Macaca mulatta: one gene and its partners. Each later gene encodes a partner of the first gene's protein in a complex. Links are inferred from orthologs where the notes say so. Each region holds a gene or a part of one and is shown in the gene's direction. Other genes may lie near its edges.

What was found.
Region 2: TUBG2 (region 1) and TUBGCP4 share a complex: the UniProt entries of both Homo sapiens proteins name them as parts of the gamma-tubulin ring complex. The link is inferred for Macaca mulatta from reciprocal best matches to the Homo sapiens genes TUBG2 and TUBGCP4.
Region 3: TUBG2 (region 1) and TUBGCP5 share a complex: the UniProt entries of both Homo sapiens proteins name them as parts of the gamma-tubulin ring complex. The link is inferred for Macaca mulatta from reciprocal best matches to the Homo sapiens genes TUBG2 and TUBGCP5.
Region 4: TUBG2 (region 1) and TUBGCP3 share a complex: the UniProt entries of both Homo sapiens proteins name them as parts of the gamma-tubulin ring complex. The link is inferred for Macaca mulatta from reciprocal best matches to the Homo sapiens genes TUBG2 and TUBGCP3.
Region 5: TUBG2 (region 1) and TUBGCP2 share a complex: the UniProt entries of both Homo sapiens proteins name them as parts of the gamma-tubulin ring complex. The link is inferred for Macaca mulatta from reciprocal best matches to the Homo sapiens genes TUBG2 and TUBGCP2.
Region 6: TUBG2 (region 1) and NME7 share a complex: the UniProt entries of both Homo sapiens proteins name them as parts of the gamma-tubulin ring complex. The link is inferred for Macaca mulatta from reciprocal best matches to the Homo sapiens genes TUBG2 and NME7.

Annotation. Positions count from the first base shown.
Region 1 is NC_133421.1:67,018,198-67,020,594, forward strand, and holds the end of TUBG2 (tubulin gamma-2 chain), read left to right. Parts: intron 1-389; coding exon 390-476; intron 477-591; coding exon 592-741; coding exon of another isoform or gene 742-750; intron 751-984; coding exon 985-1,137; intron 1,138-1,220; coding exon 1,221-1,382; intron 1,383-1,501; coding exon 1,502-1,699; 3' UTR 1,700-1,897; downstream 1,898-2,397. UniProt on the Homo sapiens protein: Tubulin is the major constituent of microtubules, protein filaments consisting of alpha- and beta-tubulin heterodimers. Gamma-tubulin is a key component of the gamma-tubulin ring complex (gTuRC) which mediates microtubule nucleation.
Region 2 is NC_133412.1:20,787,586-20,789,947, forward strand, and holds part of TUBGCP4 (gamma-tubulin complex component 4), read left to right. Parts: intron 1-759; coding exon 760-876; intron 877-1,490; coding exon 1,491-1,630; intron 1,631-2,283; coding exon 2,284-2,296; 3' UTR 2,297-2,362. UniProt on the Homo sapiens protein: Component of the gamma-tubulin ring complex (gTuRC) which mediates microtubule nucleation.
Region 3 is NC_133412.1:1,333,723-1,337,222, forward strand, and holds part of TUBGCP5 (gamma-tubulin complex component 5), read left to right. Parts: intron 1-1,033; coding exon 1,034-1,280; intron 1,281-3,096; coding exon 3,097-3,299; intron 3,300-3,500. UniProt on the Homo sapiens protein: Component of the gamma-tubulin ring complex (gTuRC) which mediates microtubule nucleation.
Region 4 is NC_133422.1:106,857,395-106,861,538, reverse strand, and holds the start of TUBGCP3 (gamma-tubulin complex component 3), read left to right. Parts: upstream 1-1,344; 5' UTR 1,345-1,533; coding exon 1,534-1,609; intron 1,610-4,144. UniProt on the Homo sapiens protein: Component of the gamma-tubulin ring complex (gTuRC) which mediates microtubule nucleation.
Region 5 is NC_133414.1:145,393,266-145,396,765, reverse strand, and holds part of TUBGCP2 (gamma-tubulin complex component 2), read left to right. Parts: intron 1-834; coding exon 835-994; intron 995-3,354; exon of another isoform or gene 3,355-3,424; intron 3,425-3,500. UniProt on the Homo sapiens protein: Component of the gamma-tubulin ring complex (gTuRC) which mediates microtubule nucleation.
Region 6 is NC_133406.1:26,870,609-26,874,712, reverse strand, and holds the start of NME7 (nucleoside diphosphate kinase homolog 7), read left to right. Parts: upstream 1-1,304; 5' UTR 1,305-1,391; coding exon 1,392-1,394; intron 1,395-1,570; exon of another isoform or gene 1,571-1,628; intron 1,629-4,104. UniProt on the Homo sapiens protein: Possesses an intrinsic kinase activity. Displays 3'-5' exonuclease activity with a preference for single-stranded DNA. Does not seem to have nucleoside diphosphate kinase activity.

The DNA of each region.
Region 1 (2,397 bases):
CTCTCTGTGGTCTCCCCAGAGCCAAGCACAGTGTATGGCACATGTGGGTACTCACGGGTTTGTTTACTGCCCTGCGTAGTCTGAGAGTATCTCATGATGCCCCAGAAACAGTACTTTTCTTTCTGTTATTTTTTATGTATATTTTTTACAGAGATGGCATCTTGCTGTGTTGCTTAGGCTGGTGTCCAACTCCCGGCCTCAAGTGATCCTCCCACATTGGCCTCCCAAACGGCAGGGATTACAGGCATGAGCCACCACGTCCAGCAGTACTTTTTTTTAAACTAACAAACCTACTTCTTGGCTTTGGAGTTCAGCAGGGGCTAAGCCAATATCTTATTTCTATGCCCATTTTATCCTCAAGATGCTGTGACCCTCTTCTGTCCCCGTAGGTGGTGCTGGACAACACAGCCCTGAACCGGATTGCCACAGACCGCCTGCACATCCAGAACCCGTCCTTCTCCCAGATCAACCAGCTGGTGGGCCCCCACTCCTGGACTCCTTTGGACTGGAAGCCCTCCTTGCTGGAGGGTCATCTGGGGAAGGAAAGTCCCAACCAGGCCGAGGCCCATGACATGGCACGCCTGTCCCCAGGTGTCCACCATCATGTCTGCCAGCACCACCACTCTGCGCTACCCCGGCTACATGAACAATGACCTCATCGGCCTCATCGCCTCGCTCATTCCCACCCCACGGCTCCACTTCCTCATGACCGGCTACACACCGCTCACTACGGACCAATCAGTAAGAGCAGCCTTCAGTGTCCCAGGCCAGGCCGGCCCTGGGCCCAGCAGGCCCTGCCCTAGCCTTTCTGTCTTCCCCACTGCCCCAGGAGCTGCCCTTTGCGGGCCCCGAGGCACTGTGCTCAGGGACTTTCTTGCTGACTTGCGCTCTACCCTCCCTCTGCCTTTGGCTTCTGCCAAGGAGAAGCCAAAGGGGGACTCTGCCCTGAGCGCTGGCCGGGTTCCTGTCTCACTGTCCCATCAGGTGGCCAGCGTGAGGAAGACCACGGTCCTGGATGTGATGAGGCGGCTGCTGCAGCCCAAGAACGTGATGGTGTCCACAGGCCGAGACCGCCAGACCAACCACTGCTACATCGCCATCCTCAACATCATCCAGGGAGAGGTGGACCCCACCCAGGTAGGGGAGGCCCCTTCATCCCGCACCCTGGACCCGCAGGGGTAGAGGAGAGGCCACCTCCACTGCTCGTGTGCCCACCCCAGGTCCACAAGAGCCTGCAGAGGATTCGGGAACGGAAGTTGGCCAACTTCATCCCGTGGGGCCCCGCCAGCATCCAAGTGGCCCTATCGAGGAAGTCTCCCTACCTGCCCTCGGCCCACCGGGTCAGTGGGCTCATGATGGCCAACCACACCAGCATCTCCTCGGTGAGTCTAGGTTTCTGTTCTTCTCAGGAAGAGTCTGTTCCACTGGCTACCTTCATCATCTTCCCCAAGTTCACTCCTAACCCCCTGGCTCGCATTTTGGAGATTTTCATCTCTTTCAGCTCTTTGAAAGTTCCTGCCAGCAGTTCGACAAGCTGCGGAAGCGGGATGCCTTCCTTGAGCAGTTCCGTAAGGAGGACATGTTCAAGGACAACTTTGATGAGATGGACAGGTCTAGGGAGGTTGTTCAGGAGCTCATTGATGAGTACCATGCAGCCACCCAGCCAGACTACATTTCCTGGGGCACCCAGGAGCAGTGATTTCCCTCCCCACTACTCCTGGATGGGAAGCACAGCCTCGACCATGCCTGCTCCCTCTGACCCAACTTCACCTCATGGACAACCCTTCTTGGTTCATCTCCAGCCCATGAGCTTCCTCCTGCTTCCTCCCTTCCATGCCCTAACTCTTGATATGCTTGTTCAGCTTTAATAAAGTAATAAAGCTTGGTTGTCAGTATAGCCAGGGCTTGATCTGTGAATACAGGGGGTGGTGAAGGGGTCCAGTTTCTAGGCCTCTGACAGTAGGGTGGCTTTCACGTCCTCCAACGTCTTACCACTAAGTCCAAATCTTAGTGTGTTCACTGTTTCCACTGGCATCCCTCACCTTGAACTAAGCTGTTTTACTAGAGTCAGCCCTTGTCTCAAGATTACAGAGCTTTACTGAGGTTTGCTGTCTCCTCAGTGCCTAAGGTTTGCCCCAGTGAGGGTCAATGTTGCCCCAACCTCTTCCACTCAAGGCAGAGGAGGTGGGGTCTACCGAAGGAGGGCACGCTACATTACGAGCAGGCCAGAAGAGCCGAGACTCCAGATTCCCAGTGCCCAGGGCCATGAGAGTTCCAGGAACTCAATCCAGTTCAACCTAACCTGATTAGTAGAAACAGAATTCAAGAGTAGGGCTGAGCACATCCTGAGTTACTTTTCTGTGCCAGAGAAATTCATGGGTTTGTTATCTGCCCCAA
Region 2 (2,362 bases), on another chromosome or scaffold:
GTTTAGGGCTATTTCTGCTGCCCAGGAAGAGGAAGATATATATTAATAAATGCCATTTCAGAGGGCTGGTTGAAAACAACCAAGAACTACTGTGATGGGTCGATGCTGTCCTTATGTGGCATAGATGTATCCATAGGGAAAAGCCGAGTATCAGAGCAGGTCATCATCATTAAATATTTATTGAGTGCTTACTGTATGCAAGGCACTGGGGATACAAAGAGGTATAATTCATGGCTCTGCCCTTAAGGAGCTCACAATCTAGTTGGAAAAACAAGACATATATATACATACAGAAATCATTAACAACACAGAGGCCTGAACAATTGCCAAGTGGACAACAGTACAGATAATAAAGAAGCAAGAAACGGGGTTCACTAAAGGCTACAGTGGGGAAGGGAGTGCTTCACTGAGAGAGTGGGACTTGAACTGGTATTAAAAAGAAGAGCATCCCAGGCAAAGAGAACAACACTCACAGCTCAGAGGCAGGAACACACTCTGCGGGTCTAAGAAATGAAGAGTTAAATGTGGCTAGAATGGAGGTTTGGTGCGGGGCTGAGAGAGTAATACTCGTGTACGCAGGAAAGGATGCATTTGTTTTACACATATTGTATGTCTGAGGGGCTGGCAGGCCTTGCAAGTGACAGTGTCTATCCTCTCAGATTTGGGAGGTCAGCTATTAATCAGACTGTTCTCCCAAATCTTTAATTTCATGGACGTACCTTCCTTCTTTTCCTAATGCCAACTCTGTTTCCTGGGTAGGTGTTTCACTGCCTGAATGAAATCCTAGATCTCTGTCACAGTTTTTGTTCGCTGGTCAGTCAGAACCTAGGCCCACTGGATGAGCGTGGAGCCGCCCAGCTGAGCATTCTCGTGAAGGTGCGTCTGCCTGGAAGTATGCAGCCTTGCCGAAAGGACAGAGGTGGTTTTGTCAATGGAGAATTCATGATCTTTCCTCTGAGTCAGTAAAGCATTTCCTCAATACACACACGTACAGAAATAAGATATAAAGATAAAAATGTTGGTATCAGTTGATTTTGAATCAGGTAATTACTGTGCTACCTCAGAGTGCTCAAAAATAGTTCAGTCCTGAATAGTTTATTCAGCCCATCAAATAAGCATTGGCTTTGTTCTAACTTCCTCACATCCTACCCCTCTTTACTTCCTTGAACTAACCCCTATCTCACTGAGATAATTATCTGCTTGTAATCAAAACGGGTTCTCCCCAACCCCAGTACTTGACAAAATACATTAACTGGAAACCAGCTACTAAATTCCTACTGGTGAAAGAGTACTTTCATAGGAAGTCATGCATGTATGGATTTGGTACAAGTCATTTTAAGAACTAATAGAAATAGGAATGTGGGAAGGCCAGGTGGTTCTGTAGAATTTTGAGCAAGGCTTTTCCAAGAAACTCCTCCCTCCGCCCCCATCCTCCATATGGAGAGTTGGTGAGCTGAAGTGGAATGACAGCTGAGTCCTTCTCTCTGCAGGGCTTTAGCCGCCAGTCTTCACTCCTATTCAAGATTCTCTCCAGTGTTCGGAATCATCAGATCAACTCAGATTTGGCTCAACTACTGTTACGACTAGATTATAACAAATACTATACCCAGGCTGGTGGAACTCTGGGCAGGTAGGAGCAACCCTTGGGTAACTCAGTAGACTTTTGTGGGTGACTTTTTAATGAGTTGCAGAATTCTAGAGCTGGAAGAAGACTTTAGCCATCATATAGTCCAAATACGCTCATTTTATATAAACAAGGTTTAGAGATAGAGGTGTGACCATCTTTAATAATTTTAATGAAGATTATTTTCTAGTAGAAGTCATCATCATCATCATAAAATACTAAAAAACCTGACAGTGAGATAGGTGTTAAGTCCTTTGCTAGGTTATGTATTGCTATGCTGGGAGGCAGTGTGCCTTCCATTCCCAATTCTGATATGAACTAGCTGTGCAGCCGTGGGCACCCCGCCTTGCTGGTCCCTAGCTTCCACATTGGTGAAAGGAGGGGACCACCCCTTCTAACTCTAAACTTTAAGTGAGATTCAGTGGTAGCTGGCTTCCCAGAGCTCTGTCATTCCCATTCAGAAAATCACTTTATTGTCCTTTCTCTCTCTCAAATGTCTGCAAGTAGACTTTTTTCTAAGCTATTTTAGCAGAAGAGTCAAAAGAAACTCTTGTTTTAAGACGACATTATTTAGACCACAGGTTGTCCTGATTCATATTTCTTTGAAGGCAGTCTTGGGAAAGCATGATACTTAATAAGGCTCTTTTTCTCTTTTGTAGTTTCGGGATGTGAAAAGTTATGGCTCATAAACTGAAATAACAGCCACGTTCCCAAGTTTGTACCAGAAGATTCAAAACA
Region 3 (3,500 bases), on another chromosome or scaffold:
GGCCAGGCTTGTCTAGAACTCCTGACCTCATGATCCACCCACCTCTGCTTTCCAAAGTGCTGGGATTACGCCCGGCCTCTTTTTTTCTTTTGAGACGGAGTCTCGCTCTGTCACCCAGGCTGGAGTGCAATGGCACGATCTCCACTCACTGCAAGCTCTGCCTCCCGGGTTCAAGCCATTCTCCTGCCTCAGCCTCCCAAGTAGCTGGGACTACAGGCGCCGCCACTAGGCCCGGCTAATTTTTGGTATTTTTAGTAGAGACGGTAGTTCACTATGTTGGCCAGGCTGGTCTCGAACTCCTGATCTCATGATCCGCCGGCCTCGGCCTCCCAAAGTGCTGGGATTACAGGCGTGAGCCACCACGCCTGGCTGGACATATTTAATTTCAATTTGCATTTTGTGCTTTTAATTCTGTCATTCTGTATTGTGAAAGTTATATACTGTAATTTTTTTTTTTTGCTTTAAGTACATTTACCTTATGTATGTTTTTTTAAAATATAAGCCAGAATTCTGGGCCGGGCGCGGTGGCTCACGCCTGTAATCCCAGCACTTTGGGAGGCTGAGACGGGCGGATCACAAGGTCAGGAGATCGAGACCATCCTAGCTAACACGGTGAAACCCCGTCTCTACTAAAAAATACAAAAAACCAGCCGGGCGTGGTGGCGGGCGCCTATATAGTCCCAGCTACTCGGGAGGCTGAGGCAGGAGAATGGCGTGAACCCGGGAGGCGGAGCTTGCAGTGAGCTGAGATCCGGCCACTGCACTCCAGCCTGGGCGACAGAGCAAGACTCCATCTCAAAAAAAAAAATATATATATATATATATATATAAGCCAGAATTCTCTAGTCTATTGAAATTATTGCTCTTTTTCCTTTGCGTATAAACCTAAATATTAATCATTTTATTACTTTGTGTTCTACTAAACATACTGTTTAAAATAATTGCAAAGGAAATATTTTACAGCGAGAGGGAAATGAATTTGAAAGTTTACAGAAGGCCACCTTTGAGTAATTGCAGTTTGCTTCTGTTGTAGAGCTGTTTACGATCTGTGCTGGAACAAATAGCAGCATATGGCCAGGTTGTGTTTCGACTCCAGCAGTTCATTGATGAAGTCATGGGACACAGTTCCGAGAGCATGCTGCCTGGAAGTGGGTCTGTTCCTAAGAAGTCAACTGAAGCCCCCTTTAGAACCTACCAGGCTTTCATGTGGGCCCTGTACAAATATTTCATTAGTTTCAAAGAGGAACTTGCAGAAATCGAGAAGTGCATCATCAATAATGGTATTAAATGTTCCTCATCTTTACTCGTGCTACACGTAACTTATAATTTGAATGCCATTTAGATTTTTCATCATGTAAGATTGAAAGTTGCCTAGCAAATAAGTAGTTCTCGTGAATGCTTCATTTTTAAAATTATTTTAAATTTGTATTTTTAAATCATTCATATCTCTAAAAATCAAAAATCTACAGAGGATTTAGAGTGAAAAATCTAAATTATTCTTCCTGCACCAGTACCCCAGCCAGTCAGTTCTCCTCTCCAGAGACAGCCAGGTCCTCAGCTTCTTACGCATCCTCCCAGAAAGAGTTTGAACATACACAAGCAGTGCATATACATATACGCATACCTAGCAGTCATTACACTGCTCTCTTCAAATTTTTCTGATTTAAATTTTGAGGATAATACCACACAAATGTGAAGAGCTTCTATTTTCCTTTTTACAGATTGAGTGTTTCATCATATGGTTGTAACATAGCCCAGTCCCCTTAATGGATTTAGGTTCTTCCCAGGCTTTTGCTATTGTTAGCAGTGCTGCAGTGATAATCACTTCTACATATCCGTAATCGTACACAGGCAGTGAGTTATCTGTAGGGTAGGTTCTTTTTTTTTTTTTTTGAGATGAAGGCTCCCTCTGTCACCCAGGCTGGAGTGCAGTGGCGGGATCTTGGCTCACTGCAAGCTCCGCCTCCTGGGTTCAAGCGATTTTCCCGCCTCAGCCTCCCGAGTAACTGTGATTACAAGTACCTGCCACCATGCCTAGCTAATTTTTGTATTTTCAGTAGAGACAGTCTTTCACCATGTTGACCAGGCTGGCCTATAACTCCTGGCCTTAGGTGATCCGCCCACGTTGGCCTCCCGAAATGCTGGGATTACAGGTGTTAGCTGGGATTATACCACATCCAACCATGTGGGGTAGGTTCTTATAAATGGAATTGCTGGGTCATGTTGATTTTCCTAAGTTTTGCCACTTTATGGGGAGGTGCAGGTAAATAGATTTATACTCTTGTGAGCCATGTAGATGAATACCTGTTTCCTCACACTCTTGCCATCTGTGTGTTATCAGAGGTTTTGGTCTTCACCAGTATGACAGCTGTAAAATAGCAACCCATGTAGCTTTTTTCCCCTTAACTTTTATTTTGAACTACCACAAAAAATGGCACAGAGAGGCCCTGTGTTCCCATGACTTTGCTTCCCCCAGTGGGAAAACCTCACGTAGTGACAGTACATAATCAAAACTAGGAAACTGACATTGGCACAGCACATTAGCCAAACTGCAGACCTGACACGGCTTCACCAGCATTGCAGGAACTTGCAACTTGCTTTGAGCAGGGGTGGGTGTGGTATCTTCGTGTATGGTTCCGGGTCTTTTTATCACCTGTCGAGCTCCACATGGCCACTTCCATGTTAAGGTCACAGCTGTGCCACCACCTCGCAGGACCTGCTTCTGCAGCCCTTTGTAGGCACAGCCTCTCTCACCCCTCACTGTAACATCAGCCCGTTGGAGGTGTTCTGTTTTACCTGGCGTAGTTTTTTAAGTAAGGTCAAGTGACTTTCTGTATGTTCTAGAATCACTTATCTTTCCTTTTCTGTGAACTGTCAGTTCCTTTATATGTTAGTTTTCTGCTGAGTTTTCTTTTTCTCCGTGACTTGCAGGAGTTCTTCCTTAGGGAAATTAGGTCCTTGTGATGTGAGATCAAAATTCACCATCCTCCATTTTGCCCTGCCTGTCCATAAGCCTGGTGATTTGCCAGCATTTGTGTCACGTTTTAGATGCGTGTATTTTTCTTGCTATTGAGTTTGATTTGTTGAAATTTGCAGATGCTACAATAACTCTTGCAATAGTGGTGGACAAGTTGGCACCTCGATTGGCTCAGCTCAAGGTTTTGCACAAAGTGTTTAGTACTGGAGTAGCAGAAGTTCCACCTGATACTCGAAATGTTGTCCGGGCCTCTCACCTGCTCAACACCCTGTACAAGGCCATTCTTGAATATGACGATGTTGGAGAAGCCTCTGAGCAAACCGTATGTGAGACTTCTGCCTGAAGTGTGTGACTCCGTTCTGCACGGCACAGGAGTGGTAGACAGCTGATCGTAGTTCTTTGTTCAATGACACTTGAATGGTGACTCGTTGGACAGTTCAGAGTTTTTAAATTGGCTTCCAAATTTGAGGCTATAGGAAACTGGCTTTTCAGCTCTACTTGCCAAGGTCCTCAGAAGGATGAG
Region 4 (4,144 bases), on another chromosome or scaffold:
AGCAGTTATTCCTTGTGCCAACTGACATGCTCTAATTAATGCTATTAACTTTGCTTGTTGAGATGGTTGCTCCTAGAAGACAAGCACTTTCTATTTCTTTGGGCAAAGGCGCTATGGCATAGCCAGTGTAATACCTTCCAGCTGCATCCTTTAAGTAACAGCCATCTGTAAACCAAATAACATCAGCGTTAGTGAGGGGGGTTTCTTGTATGTCTGTCCTAGGAGACAGCTGGTCAGATAAGATGATGCAGTCATGCAGCGTTTCAGCTGAAGGTGGGGGAGAGGCTGGCAGAATGTAGATGACATCTGGACACTGTAGTATGGGGCTGAGAGAATAACTTCATAAGAAGCCAGTTACTAACTGATCGTGTTGAGTGTGGTGCAGGTTTAGAAGCGCTTCCACAGAATGTGGATCGAAAGCAGTGAGGGGTGATGGCATCCTTGGTGCTTTGGTTGCTCTTGCAGAGCTGTGATGGTTGTTGCTTCATGCAAGGAGGCAGTCCTTTAGCTGCAGGGTCTAGTTGTTGACTGTAATATCCTACAAGTCTGCTTTGTCTCCATGTTTTTGAGTCAGAACGCCAACAAATGTTTTACTTGCTAACAATTCTGCAACCAGAGCTGGACCCAGGCCCGACGGGCTTTGCAGACAGTCACATGTGTGGCTGGCCTCAGCTGGGATGTTGGGATAGCTGGATTGTCCTCCCTCTTCCATTTCATGGGATCTCGGGATCTCTTTCCATCATTTTTCCTTCAGGAAGTTGGCCTTTTAACATGGTAGCTCACGGCTCCCAAGCGTGCACCCATGTGTAAGCTTTAACGATTGCACTGAAGATGGCTTGGTGTAATTGTCCGCTTATCGATCTTTTTCTCGGCAGGTCTTCTCCTGTTCTCTCACTCTGTACGTGATTGATTTATTTTCCCAGGACGTCCCAGTCACCCGGGCCTGGGGGAGCGGCCTGCGCGGCGGTGTGAGGTCGGGCCTGAGCAGGGCGCCTGCTGGAGAGTAGCAGGTGACTTGCCACACCGCATAACCCCCTGCACCCTTTAAACAGGCTTCTTTCATCAGAAGCGTGAATCAAACCAATACCGTTAACACACACGCCCCCATATAAACACACCAAATTATGGCCTTTAAGGTGCTACCGGCCACCAAGTGCTCTCCAAGGAAGCCCGTGACGCTCGCGACTCCAGGGCCGCTCTGTCCGCGAAGCTCGAGGGCCTCGGGCCACCTGTCGCCCGGAACTTTCCCGGCCGGACGGGCAGCAGCCGGGGGAATACGCAGGGCAGGGCCGGGAACGCTTAGGCAGCCGCACGCGCGGTCGCGGCGCAGGGAAGAAGCGGGGCATTGTGGGAAGCGCCCGCGCTTTCGGCGGGTTCCGTTAAAATGGCGCCCTGGTGGCCGGCGGCGCCCGCGCCTTAGCCTGTCGGGAGCCGGGAGCTTGAGGGGCGCAGGGAGGGCGCGGGCCGCAGTCCCTGCGCTTGCGGCGGCGGTGGCGGCTCTGCCCAGACCCCCGCGCACAGTCCCGGGCAAGGATGGCGACCCCGGACCAGAAGTCGCCGAACGTTCTGCTGCAGAACCTGTGCTGCAGGATCCTGGGCAGGAGCGAAGGTAGAGGGGCCGGGCGACGCGGGGCCTGCAGACCCACCCCGGGGGCCACTCCCTGCGCGTGCAGCCCTAATACGTCCCGGGGCTGGAGGAACGAGGATGCAGGGCCGGGGCAGAGGGCTGGGGACGGGCCGAGGACGTGGGGCCCGGACGAGGGAGCGGAGGGCTGGGTTCCGGGGTTAGGGAGCCGGGGAGGAGAGCGGAGGGTTGGGGCTCGGGGGTCAGGGAGCCAGGGAGGAGAGCGGAGGGCTGGGGGCCGGGACCGGGACGGAGGGAGTGGAGAGCCCGAGGCCGGGGCCAGAGCGCGGGGCCGGGAGGCGGGAGGGCGGAGCCCGGGCCGGAGCGGGCTGAGTCACCGCTCACTCCGCGCGCGGGTCCGTCAGTGAGGATGGGAGGAATGCCAGCTCGCCAATTTATCCCGGTTCTCTGGTGTCACACGCCAGGGGAGGGCGCCTCTGCGTGCCTTTGGGTTCATGCTGTGTGGGGTGGAGAGAGCGGCTGCGCAGCGGAGGAGCGTGCGGGGTGCTGGAGAGTCACATCATCGTCCCTTTTCATTAGGAAAGTTTAACAGGCTTGAGCATTATGGGAATGGGGTGTTAACGATTATCTGCCATATTTTCTACTGTTTAAAGGGTTGAGGGTTGGATTTGATATAAAACTATTCTGGGAAAGTTCACATGGCGAATATTGTTACTAATAAGCTAAACTAATCCTATACAGTAGGCAAAACCATTTTGTAGCCGAGGTACTTTGAAATAAATGGTACAGGATGCCATTTCTTGCTCCGTGTTTTGGCCAGGTTGGTGGGGGAGAGAGTGAGTATGCACCGTGAGGGAGTTTTCTGAGTAATGGAAGCAAGTGTGTTACGTCTTAAGGACCAAAATGTGGAAAAGAAGTTATTCAGTTTTTGAAGGAAGACTTCAAAGTTACATTTAAAGTACTGGGAATGCATTTTGACTTTTTATGCTTCATGACAATTACTGCGTGTAATTCATTGGATGTTCTATGATAATCTTTGGGCAATCATGAATTATTTTGTGTTACTATTAAATGAGTGACTTCACACAATTCTTGCTACATTTTGTAAAGTTTCATTTTATCTCTTTATTTATCTAAGAAATCTTTGAGAACAACCCCGTCCTCAAAGTTCCTCCCAGGAACTATGCTAAGTGCTGGTGATGCAGATGCACAAGTCATTCCTCCCACAGATCTGACACTCTAGTGGAAGAGACAGATGATAAACCAGCCATGTTAATTAGCAATAAGTACTGTGGTGAAAAAGTACGGTAAAGGAATAGAGAGAGGCAGATCACGAGGTCAGGAGATCGAGACCATCCTGGCTAACACAGTGAAACCCAGTCTCTACTAAAAATACAAAAAATTAGCCGGGCGTGGTGGCGGGCGCCTGTAGTCCCAGCTACTCGGGAGGCTGAGGCAGGAGAACGGTGCGAACCCTGGAGGTGGAGCGTGCAGTGAGCTGAGATTGCGCCACTGCACTCCAGCTTGGGCGACAGCGAGACTCCGCCTCAAAAAAAAAAAAAAAAGAAAGAAATAGAAGAGACAGGTGAGGGAAAGCCTCTGAAATATTTACAGAGACCTGAATGGAGTAAGGGAGGGCCGTTTGAACATCTGGGGAAGGTTCTGAGTAGAGAGAACCAACGAAAAGGCCTTGAGTTATGAGCATGGCCTGTCCTCCTTTGTTTTTGTCATTAGCACACTGAGTTTCCTTTCTCATGTTTCATGTTCCTCGTCATAGGGGGAATCAGATAAAACTAAGATTGATAGGACTTATCCAACTTAATGTCAGTGTTTCCCTTGTACCAGTGGTTCCAGAGTTTTTTGTTTTAGGGATAAACCACACATTCATACATTCCCATTGTCATAATTGGATTTTGAAAGTCATTCATCGTGAGCTAAAATGGTATTTCTCAACTTAAAGACTTTTGAGACAGAGTCTCATTCTGTCGCTCAAGCTACCGTGCAATGGCGCTATCTCGGCTCACTGCCAGCTCCGCCTCCCGGGTTCACGCAGTTCTCGTGCCTCATCCTCCAGAGTAGCTGGGACTACAGGCGCCCACTACTACGCCCGGTTAATTTTTTGTATTTTTAGTAGAGACGGGGTTTCGCCGTGTTAGCCAGAATGGTCTCGGTCTCCTGACCTCGTGATCGTCCTGCCTCGGCCTCCCAAAGTGCTGGGATTACAGGCGTGAGCCACCACCGTGCCCGGCCAAAAACGTTTTTTTTTTTTTTTTTTTTTTAAACATTGAAGATTCTTTGATATAAAAGTTTTGCCCCTTCTAAGAGATTGAAAAGCTTCTTTTCAGCAAAATTCTGTATCCTACTGTCTTCCCATTTAGAATTGTGTCTAAATTAAAAGTGGGCTCTCAAATCCTGGCAGGGTCCTCTCTGAATTATTTATTTATTTATTAGAGACGGAGTCTTGCTCTGTCACCTAGGCTGGAGTGCAGTGGCCTGATCTTGGCTCACTGCAACCTCTGCCTCCTGGATTCAAGTCAGTCTCCTGCCTCAGTCCCCGAG
Region 5 (3,500 bases), on another chromosome or scaffold:
TCCTTGGAGCTGCGACGTTCCTGCCTTTGTGACCTTAAAGCTCCCTTTGGAGCTGTGTCCCTGAGGCTTCCTGGCCTTGTGGTGCATGTTGAGTACAGCGGCTCCTGAGGGCCTGGCCGGTTTTTGCTGGGCACGTTCTGTGCTGGACATGGTGCTAGGCCTCTGTTCACGTCTCCCTCAGCCCTGGCGCCGCGCTGTGTGTGGCACGTAAGGAGACTGGGTCGTGCTGCCACGTGCAGAGACAGTTTGCACTTGCCCTGTGCCTGACCAGCCCTGAGTGGGAGTCAGTGCTTCCGAAAGCTGGGCCAGCCCAGGCCGACCTGTCAGCTTCCGGCGGCCACTGGCACAGGAGGGCAGGCGCTCTGACCACATGTCAGGAGCCAGCCTGTCGCGCTGGGGCCGTTCTCCAGCAGGGTAAGGACGCAAGTCTATTGCTAACACCTGTCTTCACCCAGCAAGTGGTGTTCAGACCTAGTCACTGCCAGGAAGAAGCAATTCAGCTTGTTCATGGGGCACCCTCCTCTGAAACAGCGGCTCTGTGCCAAGGTGCCCCCTCTCCTGTGGTTCCCACTGCTGGTGCCCATGGTTTCCCAGGGGGCCCTTGCTGGACCTGGACTCCTGAGAGGAGGGGCTGGGGCTCCCCATCTGCCCTGTTCTCCCCAGCCCCTCGTGTGGCAGGGATATCGAGCTGCATTTCATTTCTGTGTGGCTGACTCTTTGTAGGTGCTAAATTGACTAATCATCTTTGCTGTAGATGTTAGTTTCTACAGGTGTCTTGAGTGTTTGCACTAAAGTGTATCTTTCTGGTTTTGTTTTTAAAAATGTCCTTGCTAGTCTCTGGAACTTAAAAGAAAGATGCTTCGAGACAAGCAGAACAAAAAAAATTCGGGCCAGCACCTCCCTGTCTTCCCAGCGTGGGTGTATGAGAGACCTGCCCTGATCGGGGATTTCCTGATTGGTGCTGGCATCAGCACAGACACCGCTTTGCCGATAGGTACGTGATGCGTTTATTTCCGGGCTCTGCCGATAGGTATGTGATGGGTTTATTTCTGGCCCCTGGGCAGGACACTCTGAGGCCCAGCCCTCCCCTGGGCCTGCCCTTCCTCAGGTTGTGAGGCTCGATGCTGACTGGCCGCTGCCTCCATATTCCTATCCCAGGGTGGCAGCAGAAAGTGGCTCCCCTGGGTCCTTGAGGGTTCTTCTCCCGTCCCTCCTGCCAGAGCTGTGGGGCAGCCTACAGCAGGCCCCTCCCCAGCTGGCATCCTGGTGCCCTGGTGCAGACCTGCAGGCACCAGAATTGTGTGCAGCACTTACTTCTGAACAGCGGTTCATAACTCCCATAGATTCTGCTCCCAGAGGCCTCTTAAAGTAGTGCTCGTGTAAACAAGATGCAAGTGAGACCGCACAGTCATTTCAAGGCATGTTGTTGGGGACCCGGGGTGTGTTCATCTGTCACAATTCATGGGTACATTTTTATCTATTTTTAATTCTTTTGAGATGGAATCTCACTCTGTCGCTGGAGAGCAGTGGTGCGATCTCGGCTCACTGCAACCTCCACCTCCCAGGTTCAAGCAATTCTCCTGCCTCAGCCTCCCAAGTAGCTGGGACTGCAGGTGCCACCACGCCCGGCTAATTTTTGTATTTTTAGTAGAGGTGGGGTTTTGCCATGTTGGCCAGACTGGTCATGAACTCCTGACCTCTGGTGATCTGCCCACCTTGGCCTCCCAAAGTGTGGGATTGCAGGCGTGAGCCACCACACCTAGTCAAGTACATTTTTAGATTGAAAAATGAGATTTCACGAACTTAAGGACAGAGATACCTGCTTGTCTTGCTTGTCTTGCCTCTGCCTATTAGTCCAAACTCAAGAGGCAGCGTGGAACGCGATCTGCTTTCCCACTGCTCGCGCAGCTCTGCGGTGTAGGCACCGAGAGGCCAACCCTTGCCTTTGCCAGAAACCCTGGAGAACGGTGACATGAAATCCTCCTGTTTTCCTCATTCCCAACAAACAGAACTCTGCTGTAAGTTAATGAAAAGTGTAGAAAACAGTCTACTTTGGCCGGGCGTGGTGGCTCACACCTGTAATCCCAGCGCTTAGGGAGGGTGAGGTGGGTGGATCACCTGAGCCTAGGAATTCGAGACCAGCCTGGGCAACATGACAAGACTAGTCTCTACAAAAAGTATAAAAATTAGCCGAGTGTGGTAGCGGGCACCTGTAGTCCCAGCTCCTCAGGAGGCTGAGGTAGGAGATCACTTGAGCCTGGGAGGTCGAGGCTGCAGTGAGCTGTGATCATGCCACTGCACTCCAGCTTGGGCAACAGAGTAAGACCCTGTTTCAAAAAAAAAGAAAACAGTCTGCTTTGTGCAGTGTGTTTTCAGTAATAATCCAACTGTGAAGAGTTAGGGAGAGAGAGCCACTCCCTTAGCGGGTATTTAGCGGGCGGCCGGGGCAGCAGTGGGCATCTGAGAGCTCCTGATGATGCCCAGGGAGGCTTCAGAGAAGGACGCGCGGGTCCCTGGTGCCCGAGATCCCAGCAGTGGAGCACAGCGGAACCAGCTTTCTGGAGCAGGAAGCACCGAGGGGGGTGTTCAGGCTTTCCCCCCATGTTTCCCCATCCAGGGAAGGGGCTGTGTCCAATAATGCTGGGTGCCACGCGCATGGCGGTGATTGGAAGCAAGTGTGTGGGACTTGGCTGTGAACCCTGCAGCCGGCTCTCAGGTCAGGGTGCGGGTGCCCTCGGCACACTCAGCGCCCTAGGGAAGGGGCGGCCTTGCCCCACCTCCCTCCCACGGCCACAGGTCCCAGGCATGCCACCGGCATCGAGCCTGCCTCGCCTCCCTTTGTCCGCACTGTCCCCGCCCCCTCGTGCCACCTGTGCAGACTCGAGAATGGAGCTCACCGTGGTGTTCGTGCAGGGCCTGTCCAGCCCTTACCCCACGATTTGACCAGTGCCACACCACGGGACCTTGCATGACCTGGGGCCAGCGTCCTCTGGAAAACACCCCTGGAGTGGTGTGTGATGAGGACACGTGCCTTGGAAAGCATCAGGACCTTGTGAGCACGAGGCGGCTGCCAGCCCTCCACGTTCCCGCCGTGCCTCTCACAGTGTGGGCGTCCACCTGGCCAGCGCCGCCGCGGCAGTGTCCTCCCTCTCGTCGCTGCTGTGCAGCGTGCGGAGCTGTTTGCCTACCCGCGTCCTGCCTTTTCCCCACACCGGCACGGAGGAGCCACGTGGTCAGTGGTCGTTCGGACGTGGTGATTCGCAGACGACGACGCAGGTGTTGAGAAGACACCAAGGATGTTGAATATTGGGGAGGTGAAGCAACTGACTTCTTTTTTTCTTGAGACAGGGTCTCACTTCGTTGCCTTGGCTGGAGTGCAGTGGCGTGATCTCAGCTCACTGCAGCCTCGACCGCCCAAGCTCAGGTGATTCTCCCACCTCAGCCTGCCGAGTAGCTGGGACTGCAGGCGTGCACCATCACACGCAGCTAATTTCAGTATT
Region 6 (4,104 bases), on another chromosome or scaffold:
ATGCACACACAGACACACACACACATATCAAAAAGGAGCTTCTGTTTAGATGTGTAACGAACGAGAAAAAATATTACTCAAGATAACATAATTCATATTTTTTTGGTAATAAAGTTAAAATAGTGTAGCTCCAAAAGTAAAAAGAGAAACATATATTGAGCACATGCTTTCAGAAAGGTACACACTGCCTACAGTACAGACTCAGATTTACTAGAAAACATATAAAAAGGTGATGCTACTGCAATGATATAAATATGACAAACTGTACACTAGATGACAACTGGTGTCACTACAAAAAAAGATCGCTCTCAGTACTAGATACAACTCAGTTCAATTAGTGAACCCGACGACTAACTTTCTTAACAGTCACAAACTTTTCTACACTACAGTCTATTGCTCCGAAAAGAGGTATCCAAAAAACCCTTCGTAAGAGTAACGATCCCTGAAACTGCCCTTGATAGTTGCTCTGCGAAACATACAGGCACACCGAGTGCGTGCTGGCAAATGCCAAATGAAGGTGAGGGGGTGAAGAAGTAAGTAGGGGGAGTGAGCAGGTATGAGAGCGATAGGCCGGGAAGCGACAAGTCTGTCAACCTTTGCTGTCCCGGGAAGTCGAAACCGAAGTTCCATTCCTGTCTGAAAAAGCCTTCCCGGAACAACAATCGTTCCCTAAATCCAAAGCTACTGGCCACCAAGCTCCAGCCAGACCTCCGTCCCTTTCCAACATCCTTAGTTATACCTGCTTGTCCTCGGATTTACCTGTAAGATTCTTATTCTCCGTATTTCAGGGGACTTCACTTCATAGGCTCTTCGGATCGGTATCACCAGGCTAACTTCTCACAGACCTCTTCCATTCAGAAGCCGGCCCGCCCAGGCCCTCCACATATCCAGGAGCTCTCTCACTCCTAACCACTTCCGATTACTCAGGGTTTCGCTTCCGGAATACGTTTCCAAAAGAGAAGGGTAAATACATTCTGCAGTGAGTTTAAACTCAAGTAACACAGAACACACACTGTAAGGCCTCCGTAAGTGGAAAGCGGACAGATGTCTACTTTAAAATAAAATACTGTACAGCAACTTTTGGAGCCCAAGCCTCAGATTCACTTAAACTTCCGGGCCAGCTGTTAAACAAACGGAAGTAAAACTGCCGGAAACAGAAAAACGGCGTCTCGTAGCCCCAGGCGACAGCGTGGAGGGGCGGGCCTGTCGATTGGATGAACGCAGCTGAGATTACTCCCAGCCACTAAGGACGAAGAGGTGGGGCGGTGGCGTCCCACGCACCGTGCGACAGTGGGCGGTGCTCTGTTGCCTGAGTAACCGGATGATGGTGTTGGTGGTGGTGTCTTCCTGTCTCAACGATACCTATTTTCTAGTGCTGAGATCCTGAGACAATGGTGAGTGCCAGGGGATGTCAGAATAACGGCTGTGGGTCCTAGCTACTTAGCGTTCCAAGTCTTCGGGCGGATGGGCACTTAAAGTTGTCCTGTCCTCCCGACCTTCTCCTCATTATCTCTTTCCCCCTTCCCATGGGCTGTTACTGCAGTTTACTCGCTCTCCGTATTTCTTACAGCACCCTGAATTCCACTGATGCTACTAAGTCTCTAGAGTAATGAAACAGAAAATTCAGGGTAAGGCATCGAGTCTAATCACCTGTTTTGAACAACATTATGTGTTTTCATTGTTCATCGTGGCATTTTTCATGCTCACAGATTCACATTAACGCGCTTTATTAAGAGTGTGGGGTGGTGTGTATGTGACTGTCTCAACACTAATCTGAATCTCCCTAGATCTTGGAGTCCTTTTGCTTTTCTGAGTGGCAGAGCACTGCCCCACGCCCCCACGAGGGCCATTAACAGATGTATGTTGGATCAGCTCTCGTCTGTCCAGTTGCTTACCTTCTAGGTCTGTGCTTGCTTTTCTTTTCTTTCTTCTTCTTCTTCTTTTTTTCTTTCTTTTTTTTTTTTTTAAACAGAAATTTCTCCTGGGATTGCTTGGAGAGCTTCTGCAATTCACTGTTTGGACTTCACCCCTGGAAATTCTGAATGAAAGGAATGGGGCTTGGTATTTGCATTTTAAATAAACCTGTAGGTGATTTTAATTCACCCACATGTTTGAGAGTACCAGGGTTCTAGTTAATTCACTTAACTATCGTGTCTTTTAAGCACTTATGGATAATGGACTGGAAGATAGAAAGATCTTTAGATAGTTATAGCTACGAATTTAGAAACAGAGCCCCCACCCATCACCCCTTGTTTCTTCATACTACTCAGCAATCCTTTTGGTTACCCCAGTTTTCCCCTGCCCCATTTTCTGTAAAGACATTTTCAAACCTTCCATTTATAAACCCTGTCTTTTGCCCTTCTCATTTCTCCTTTCTAAACATGATGGAGTATAACAATTCTTCAACCTCATGCCCCCAACCTACACACTGATCTATATTTTTGCCAAGCCTTTAGTCTTGTATTTCTAGTGTAGAGAAAGGGATATTAAAGGATAATCCATCCATCTTTGCTTTTGATCTCATTTGCTTCCATCTGTTACATTTCGCTTCCAGTTGTCTTTTTTCTTTCCTGTGCTTTCAGCCTCTTCCTCTTCAGTTCCTTCTACTCAGTGCTCAAGTCACACATCTTATGAAAATTAAATAAAGCAAAACCATGTCATCCATCCTGTGTTTATCCAGTTATTTCCCAGTCCTCCTATCTATCAGTAAACTTATTGAAAGGATATTATTTTTACTTATATCAAACAGACAAAAGTCTTTTGTCTGGCTTCTTTAATGCCTTCAAGAAAGTTGTTCTTGCTTAAGTTTCTAAAGGCCTTTTAAATGCCAAATACAGTAATTACTTCTCAAAATTTATATTGCTTAGTCTGTTTGTGACAACTGAGGTTCATAGTCATTAATTCCTTTTACTGGCTGTGCCTGGTTTTTGAATGTCATTCTTTGGAATTCACTCCTTAATTACTTTCATTTCTTAGTCTAGACATTTTCCTTGGGTGATTTTGTCCACTCACATGGATTCTATTAACACCTTTGATTTTGCTTCTAAATTTCAATTTTTCTCTCAGATCTACTAATGCCTAACTCAGTTGCTTCCCGGACACATCTGTCTCAAAGGTCCCTCAAACTTAATATGACCAAAACTGAACTTGCTATCTTTCCTCCTGGTTTCTCCTATTTTCACCAAGTTAAATACTGCTACTACTATATTGTAACCTAAACTAGAAATCAGAGTTATCCTACATTCCTCCCTTTCCTATTTCTCCCATATTCAGTTGGTCACTAGATCAAATTTTAGTTTGTCATCTCCTCATTTCTTGATTATTTTAATAGTGACTTTTACAGTCTGGTCTGGAAATTCTCCAATCCATTATTTTCTCTGCCACAAGAAGGAATTTTTAAAAACCCAGCCTGTTGATTTACTCACCTCCTTAAAACTCTAGAATCCCCATTTCCTACAGTAAAATGTCTAGAGTGGCACACAAATTCCTCCATGAACAAGCACTTCTCTGTCTAGCTTTTGCCTTTCCTTTTCCATACCTTTTTTTTTTTTTTTTTTTTTTTTTTTATAAAAAATTATCTTGCCTTTTAGCTACTTGCTTTTCATTGAACATACCAAGCAACTTCAAACTGGTAGTATGCCTCCTCTTTCTACTTTGCACTTGCAATTCCTTCTACACAGAATACCTGCACCCTCTTGTTGCTTGCCAAACTCTTATTTATTCTCCTGTTACAGGCCAACGTGTTCTTCTTGCCCGCTTCCCAGAAAGGCCAAACATCGAGAATGCAGGAGTTGCAGCAGAGAAAGAGTTTAATGGAGGCAAGGCAGCTGAGTGGCAGGATAGGAGATATTTCTAAAATCCACCTCTCTGACAGCTTGGAGGTTGTGGTTTTTAGGGATAATTTTGTGGGCAGGTGGGTAGGGAGTGGGTGCTGCTGATTGGTTGGGGATGAATTTATAGGTGTTTCCAAACTGTCTTCCTGTGCTGAGTCAGTTGTCTAGGTGAGAGTCATAGGACTAGTAGAGTCAGTTTCTTGGTATGAGTCATGTATCTGGGTGGCATCAGGAGGTTTGCCAGAATGCAGAAGCCTGAAAAATATATCAA